Macaca fascicularis: one gene and its partner. The protein of the gene in region 2 binds, or shares a complex with, the protein of the main gene of each other region. Links are inferred from orthologs where the notes say so. Each region holds a gene or a part of one and is shown on either strand. Other genes may lie near its edges.

Region 1 (4,503 bases), on a different chromosome or scaffold from region 2:
AGTGCCCATACCAGGCAGCAAAGCACTGTGAGTGCTGGGCAGCTACACCTGCTGAGGCACCATTGGGCCCCCTGAAGACTATAGGCACAGGCTGAAGGCCACCAGACATGTAGTAGGTCTTGGCAGCTGAGTTTATAACCTGGTCAATGGCTTGCATGGAGAAATTGAAGGTCATAAATTCACAAATGGGCCGCAACCCAGCCTGTAAAATCAAAAATGTGGATGTTAAAAAGACTAGAAACAGCAATAAAGACTAGCAAACAATCACTCCAAGTCTTCCAACATTCAAATAATGTTTTTATTTTTTATAAACAGGGTTTCACTGTCACCCAGGCTGGAGTGCAGTGGCGCACATCATAGCTCACTGCAGCCTGTAACTCCTAGGCTCAAGTAATCCTCCTGCCTCAGCATGCAGAGTAGCTGGGACTACAGGCAAGCACCACCACATCTACCTACTTGGAATTGTTTTGTTTTTTTCCCAAATGTTTTTAAAAGGTGATGTTAAATATCTTTGGGGATGGGCACAGTGGCTCACGCCTGTAATCCCAGCACTTTGGGAGGCCAAGGTGGGCAGATCACTTGAGGCCAGGAGTTCGAGACCAGCCTGGCCAACATGGTAGAACCCCATCTCTACTAAAAACACAAAAATTAGCCGGGCGTGGTGGCACGACCTGTAATCCCAGTCACTATGGAGGCCGAGGCAGGAGAATCGCTTGAACCTGGAAGCTGAGATCATGCCAGTGCACTCCAGGCTGGGCGACAGAGTGAGACTCCGTCTCAAAAGAAAACAAGAAATGTCTTTGGATAAGCTTCCCATAAAGAGTATTACATACCATAGCTGCACCTACAGCAATTCCAGCAAAGCCCATCTATAAAGTAAAATATAAACATAAGTGAAAATCCATAAAAATGAAGACAGTGGACACTAACAGACATGCCCTCTAGGGTCTGCTTCCCCCTGGAAGGCTTACCTCTGATATGGGAGTGTCAATAATCCTCTTGTCTCCATATTTCTTCCACAGCCCTCGACTAACCTACAATTAAGATTTGATCCCTTAAGTGTATCTGGGGGTAACAGTGACCTCAATTTTGTATAACTTTCACATATTTTAGTTACCTTGTATGCCCCATCGTACTGGGCAACTTCTTCTCCAAGCAGAAATACCTTCTCATCTCTTTCCAGCTCCTCATCCATACCCTGATTTATAGCATCACGAACTGTCACCTGTCACAGGTATGCAAAAACAGTCAATAAGAATTGTTTGAGATTCAACTAAGATTTTCTTCCTTTATATTTACCTAGGCTGCCCAGAGCATACAATATAAAAACACTAGAACAAGTTTCTCTTTAAAAACTCAAAGGATTCTAAAAGTAACATTTCTATCACACATAGTTGGTCTTTGACTGTATGTGTTAGTGTACTGAGCACTCACTAGGTGCCAAACACTTTGCATCCAGAATGTAGGAGTTGCTATTTTAATATAATGAATGGTAAAATATAGTTTTAAAAAAAAGGAAGGAGAGGAGAATTAACATACAATCCATCAATTCCACTTCTATGTATATGCCCCAAATAACTGAAAGCAGGGATTCAAGCATATACTTGCACATCAATGTTCACAGCAGCATTATTCACAATAGACAAAACAAGGCCAGGCACGGTGGCTCACACCTGTAATCCCAGCACTTTGGGAAGCCAAGGCAGGTTTGGATCAACGTGGTGAAACCTGGCCTCCACTAAAAATAAAAAAATTAGCCGGGTGTGGTGGCGGGCGCCTGTAATCCCAGCTACTCAGGAGGCTAAGGCAGAACTGCTTGAACCCAGGAGGCGGAGGTTGCAGCGAGCCGAGATAGTGCCATTGCACTCCAGCCTGGATAACAAGAGCAAAACTCCGTCTCAAACAAACAAAAACAAGAAAATGTGGGGCTAGGCGAGGTGGCTCATGCTTGTAATCCTAGAACTTTGGGAGGCCAAGGCAGGCACATCACTTGAGGCCAGGAGTTCAAGACCAGCCTGGGCAATATGGTGAGACCCTGTCTCTACTAAAAATACAAAAATCAGCCAGGTGTGGTGGCGCCCGCCTGTAATCACAGCTACTCAGGAGTGTGAGGCGCGAGAATCCCTTGAGCCCCGGAGGTGGAGGTTGCAGTGAGCTCAGATCGCGCCACTGCACTCCAGCCTGAGTGACAGAGCGAGACTATCTCAAAAATACATACATATATATATTATTCAGCCTTAGGAAGGAATCAAACTCTGACGCATGCTACAACATGGATGAACCCTGAGGACATTACGCTCAGATAAGCCAGACACAAAAGGACAAATTATGCCACTTATATAAAATTCTAGAATAGGTAACCTCATAGAGACAGAAAAGTACAACAGGGGTTACCACGGCTTTGGTTAAGGGAAATGAGGAGTTACCGAGTAACGGACAGTTTCTGTTTAGGATGATTAAAAAGTTCTGGAAATGGATGGTGGTTAATGGTTGTACAACATGGTGAATGTACTTAATGCCACTGAATTATACACTTCTAAAAAGTACATTTTAAGTTAGGTCTATTTTGCTGCAATTTAAAGGAAAAAAAACATGAAGTGAGGGAAGAAACGCCTAATCTTAGTTTTCCCCCATTGCCCAGCCAGCTGTGAGGTAGTGACTCGCCGGGGTGATAAGCGCCAGGCGGCGACAGAGGCAGCAGGAGCTCCAGGGAGGATGCTGGCTCCGCAAACCAGGCCCACGGCGCCGGCCGGCCACGGCGCAGGCGCGACTCCGGCCCCCTTCCCGAGAGAAGAGGGCCCCTCCCCGCCCTCGTCCGACAAGCGCCCGCGCCTGTTACCTGCAGCGCAGCCGGGGCGGTCCAGTGAAAGCGCCTCTTCAGCAGCCCGGAGACCTGGCAGGGAAAGAGGAAGATGATGGCGGGACGCAGGGTGGACACGGGTGGCGTGGGAATACAGGCCGCGCGCTGCTGCCTACCTCTCGAAGGGGTCTCCGCACCAAGCCAGATACCGCCGCCATCTTGATCGTGTCCTCTATCCGCTGCCAAATGACAACACAGAGGGGCTGGCAGACGTAAGAAAGCCCCGCCTCCCCCGGCGCGGGCCAATGGCAAGGCGCGGCGCCTGCGTGACTCGGCCCCCCCCCCCACGCCCACCGGGTGAGGGGCCGCGGGGCCGGGCGGAGGTGGTTGTATGGGTGGCACTGCCCCTCTGCCTGGAGCCGCCTCAAATCAACTTTATTGACAGTAGGCGGTGACCGACTTGCGGGGTGCACGCTGGGCACACGTGCCTGGTCGGTGTTACTTGAAGCGTGGGGACTAAAAGTCAGACACTGAGGAGCATGATCTCTGGAAGCTGGAGAGACCTTAAGAGTTAGGCCAACCTGTTTTGGGTACTGGAATCCTTTGGGCACCAAGAAGTGCTTGCACACGCTGTAGTGATGGGGAACTTCACACTTTATGAGTGAGCCTAGTCTTCCCTGGACAGTGCTGTCTGTTAATTCCTTATAATGCAGACCACAGCTTTCATTGATTGCATTAACCACCTACTGTGAGCCAAGCATTGAGATCTGTGCCTTATAGCTCATTCTCACAGTACCCCACTTGGGTAATTAGTGTTATTATTATCTCCATTTTGAAGATGGGTAAACTGGAGCAGAAATTGATTAAATGAGCCGATATTTAGGACTAACTCTAAAGCATGGTCTTTTCCCACTGCTTCCTGAAGCAGAGGTTGGGGTCCTGTTTGGGGGAAGGTTACAACAACTTTAGAGAAGGCCCTATGGGGAGATGCCTAACACTTGACCATAGGGACAACCTCTGGAAGCTCATTAGTCTTAGTTTGGCCCTTGGGGGTCAGATGGGACAATTGGAGACCCAGTCTCCACCCATCCCCGAGACATTCCAAACATTCCCTTCTGTGGATCACAGCTGCAGGCTGCCAAATTAGGAATTTGCAACTTCCAAATTAGGGTTTTGTGGGCTGTGATGAGGAGTCTGGGTTTATAATCTAAGGTCTCTGGGACCCAGTGCAGTAGTGCATCTAGGGCCATCCCTAATTGATCAGTAGGTTGCTGACTGGGAATGGGAAGGGGTGGAGGCAAAGGCATAGCAGGCGGATGCTGGGAAGTCTGTGGTGGCGACAGAGTCAGACTAGGAGGCAACTTCCAGATGGAGAGGAGGGGGACAGTTTTGAGTTCTATTTGGGCTAGAATCAATAGGAATGCTGTAAGTGCTAGGGAAGAGCTGAGGAAAATTTTGGATTTTTGTCGTTGTTGGATGGATAGATGGGACAAGGGAGGAGCCTGGGGCAGTGTAATTGCGAGGAGCTGGGGAAGTAAGAGTCTATTTTTGTTTTTTGAGATGGAGTCTCTCACTGTCACCCAGGCTGAAGTGCAGTCGCGCCATCTCAGCTCACTGCAACCTCTGCCTCCCAGGTTCAAGTTATTCTCCTGCTTCAGCCTCCTGAGTAGCTGGGATTACAGGCACCTGCCACCATGCCCGGC
Region 2 (3,725 bases):
ATCAAGACCATCCTGACTAACACGGTGAAACCCCGTCTCTACTTAAAATACAAAAAAAAATTAGCCGGGCGCGGTGGCGGGCGCCTGTAGTCCCAGCTACTCGAGAGGCTGAGGCAGGAGAATGGCATGAACCCGGGAGGCGGAGCTTGCAGTGAGCCGAGATTGCACCACTGCACTCCAGCCTGGGGGACAGAGCGAGACTCTGTCTCAAAAAAAAAAAAAAAAAAAAAAAAAGGCTTTGAGCATGTTCTAGAGCCTCCTGCTATTGGCTAGGCAGATTTCCATCTCATGCTCCTTTCTCGTAGTGTGTTGTGGGGCTGGCAGCCACTTCTACTTCACAGATCCTGCTAGTGTGTAACAAAGTTGACAGGCACCAACAACCTCTGCTACCCAAACCCTGAGGCTCTGCTGGGAGTATGACCACTTGGGGTCTATCACCAAGTGGCTTGCTCATTCTACACTAGCCCACTTCCAGGAGATGGCTCTGAACACTGAGGGATGGGGAAACATTGAGGATCCTTGATTGGTTTGGTGCAGTAGTTAAAACGGGCGAGTGGGGAGCTGGCTCCATGATAAGAGTAGCTATGTACCTTTAACTGCTCTGTGGCTCAGTTTCCTTGTCTGCAAAATGGGCAAAACAGTAACACCTAACTCAGAATTGTGAAGGTTATGTGTTTGGGAAGTCATACATTCTACAAATCACCATGTCTCCAGCCAGGGCTGGCCCGCATGTATTCTTTTCAGGAATTGGGAGAGGTGGGGTCAATATCCATCACTCAGGGCCTGGCACTCCCAGCCTTAGGGTCCTGACAGACTGCTCAGCCCATTGTATCCAAGCTGTCATCTTGGTCCTGCTCTAGTTCATTCTACTCATTAGCTCTTATTTAATGTTACTACATCCCACCCTTACTTCCCTGTCTCCCCACTTTCTGACATTTGCATCACTGCCCAAACATACATGGTATGGCACTGAAGTGACAACTTCAGAAACCTTGTGTCTGGGCTGTGGAACACTAATTTAGGGAGAACACCCAAACCTCCTAAGCCTATACTAGTGCTGAAGGAACTGAAACCTCTTTAGGCCAGTCTCCCTGTTACCATCTCCCTCACTGCCATACACTGAAGGGAAAGATCCTTAGGACTGAGCAAGACTAAGATTACAAGCTTCAACCATACTGTTTGTGTAAGACACACACATTAAATGCCTATTGTATACATGACATTCTATGCTGGACACTACGGGGATCCCCAATCTGTTCCTTCAAGGGACTCATGATTAATGGGGGGTGGGGAGGAGGGACAGAATTAACCTAACAAAAAGGCAGTGTAGTTGTCATGATGAAGACAGGCGAAAGCAGAGGAAGCACCAGGACAGACTTCCCCCAAATGAGAGAAATGTGGGCTTCCCAGCAGGTGAGCTACCAAGACCAAGCTACCCAAAGGAGCCCTGCTTGCTTCACTCTGCTTCCATCTTGTGCACCTCAATTATCAGCTACCCACTAACAGCTTCAGCAGGCACACGGGAGGCAGTCTTTGAACTTCCAGAGATAAATGTCATTAGCCCAGAGGCCTTTAGAGTCTTACCTTCCCAGATCTACAATAGGCGGCAGCAAACCTTGTCGCCTCTCGGACGCACAAGATATCCATTCCATCCACCTGTTAATAAACGGGAGGGGCGAAGCATGAATCCAGCTGCCCCAAACCATTTTACTTTCACATCACCTGCTTATGTTTGAGAACGAAACTCTTCAATGTTTCTAAGATTGTCAAGGGTCTGCACAAGGACATACCCCTGGCCTTGGCCCCGGCCCCACCACAGGTGTCCTTACTCTCAGCCCAGGAATGAAATCGCCTCTCTTGTAGTAATCAGTGCTGGCTGCTGCTCTCTCAACAGATGTTCCCATTCCATAGCGATTATTCTCACAGATGAAAATACAAGGTAATTTCCACAAAGCTGCCATGTTGTAAGCTTCAAATATCTGGCCCTGGAAGTAGTTATGAAAAGGGGTTTCATTTGGCTTCTTTCTCTAGGATCCATCATCTGTAACAGCTGCTGCTCTGCCTGGCACAGAAAGCTTTCATAAAGCACAGAAAGCCTCCTCTTCTAAAACCGAGCTTTGGGCTGGGCACGGTGGCTCAGCCATGTAATCCCAGCACTTTGGGAGGCCGAGGAGGGTGGATCACGAGGTCAGCAGATCAAGACCGTCCTGGCTAACACGGTGAAACCCCGTCTCTACTAAAAATACAAAGTAGCCGGGCATGGTGGCAGGCGCCTGTAGTCCCAGCTACTTGGGAGGCTGAGGCAGGAGAATGGCGTGAACCCGGGAGGCAGAGCTTGCAGTGAGTGGAGATCGTGCCACTGCGCTCCAGCCTGGGCAACAGAGCAAGACTCTCTCTCAAAAACAAAACAAAAAAAACAACCAAAAAACCGAGCTTTGGATGGTGAGGGAAAGCGGGGTGGGTGACAGATAAGAAGCAGCAGGCATCATACTCTTGCAACTAAGAAAGATGACAAACCAACTACTACTTGTTTCTTTGGGGCCATGCTAGCAGTAAGGAACACACTGGAAAAAAGATCAGTATGAAATCTATCGGGCCCACTGGATAGTCAGAGTGAACCAGCACCTAAGAATCAGCCTCTAGAACAGGGCTTCACAGAGTACCGGCCACAGACTGGGTATTACTCGGTACCAAAAGAAGCACAAAAAGAAGCACAAAAACTGAATTAGGACTGAGACGCTATTACCCGAATTTGACACTGCCAGCGCGGACATCCAAGAGAATGGGTCTGTATCATTTTGCAATAGGTTAGGGGAGGTCCTTTATCAAGCACTGATATAGAGCAAAGGTGAGCTCCTTCACAGGAATGCGCCCCCCTAAGTCTTTTGTGAAACAATGCTAAAAGGTCACTCTCTAATCTGGCCATAAGTCAACCAAATTTGAGCTAGCCATAGGAATTACTATTTCACCTAATAAGCAATAAGCTGCTGCTTTGGAAATTCAACTGTGAATATTAAACACTTTGAAAATAAGACCGTTATTGGAAAGTTAAGAGACATAATTACCTGGTTAGCAGCACCATCGCCATATAAAGTCAGGCAGACCTCATCTTTTCCATTATACTTACAGGCTAGAGCAATCCCAGCGCCCAGGGGCACCTAACATTAAGGACAACCGAGAAAGGAACCATAGAAATCCATGAGGGGAGATATCAATGCCCTGCATTTTAACTCCTGGTCAGAATCTGGCACAGAAATTACACTGCTGCTACAAACTCTCCTTCCAACCCCATCTCTCTGTTTATCCCACCCCCGATATTTTCAATGAAGCAGTAAAGTAATATATAAATACTATGTTCTATTTTAACCAGTAAGCAATAACATTTCTGCATTCAAGAGTTAAAAAATAAAACGTGGCCGGGCATGGTGGCTCACGCCTGTAATCCCAGCACTTTGGGCAGATCATGAGGTCAAGAGATCGAGACCATCCTGGACAAGATGGTGAAACCCTGCCTCTACTAAAAATACAAAAAATGGCTGGGCACGGTGGCGCTTAACTGTAGTCCCAGCTACTTAGGAGGCTGAGGCAGGAGAATTGCTTGAACCCGGGGGTGGAGGTGCAGTGAGCTGAGATCACACCACTGCTCCAGCCTGGGCGGCTTAGCAAGACTCCATTTCAAAAGAAAAAAGGGGGGAAAAAAAAGTAGGTTTTTTAAAAAAACACAT

What was found.
Region 1: the proteins of PDHA1 (region 2) and PDHB are in contact, whole or in part, in a crystal structure (PDB 3EXE), measured with the Homo sapiens proteins. The link is inferred for Macaca fascicularis from reciprocal best matches to the Homo sapiens genes PDHA1 and PDHB. Residues at the interface, in NP_000275.1 of Homo sapiens: Ile87, Arg88, Gly89, Phe90, Glu137, Leu138, Thr139, Gly140, Gly148, Lys149, Gly150, Gly151, Met153, His154, Asn164, Gly165, Ile166, Val167, Gly197, Ala198, Asn200, Gln201, Gln203, Gly228, Met229, Gly230, Thr231, Arg235, Ala236, Asp296; in NP_000916.2 of Homo sapiens: Glu59, Gln62, Tyr63, Ala66, Asp84, Pro86, Ile87, Ser88, Glu89, Met111, Phe115, Gln118, Ala152, Gly153, Val154, Ala155, Ala156, Gln157, His158, Pro297, Val323, Arg324, Val325, Thr326, Gly327, Ala328, Asp329, Val330, Met332, Pro333.

The regions. Positions count from the first base shown.
Region 1 is NC_088376.1:121,524,089-121,528,591, forward strand, and holds the start of PDHB (pyruvate dehydrogenase E1 component subunit beta, mitochondrial), read right to left. Parts: upstream 3,052-4,503; 5' UTR 3,019-3,051; coding exon 2,977-3,018; intron 2,894-2,976; coding exon 2,840-2,893; intron 1,226-2,839; coding exon 1,118-1,225; intron 1,035-1,117; coding exon 972-1,034; intron 870-971; coding exon 834-869; intron 203-833; coding exon 1-202. UniProt on the Homo sapiens protein: The pyruvate dehydrogenase complex catalyzes the overall conversion of pyruvate to acetyl-CoA and CO(2), and thereby links the glycolytic pathway to the tricarboxylic cycle.
Region 2 is NC_088395.1:19,221,651-19,225,375, reverse strand, and holds part of PDHA1 (pyruvate dehydrogenase E1 component subunit alpha, somatic form, mitochondrial), read right to left. Parts: intron 3,159-3,725; coding exon 3,066-3,158; intron 1,986-3,065; coding exon 1,830-1,985; intron 1,657-1,829; coding exon 1,585-1,656; intron 1-1,584. UniProt on the Homo sapiens protein: The pyruvate dehydrogenase complex catalyzes the overall conversion of pyruvate to acetyl-CoA and CO(2), and thereby links the glycolytic pathway to the tricarboxylic cycle.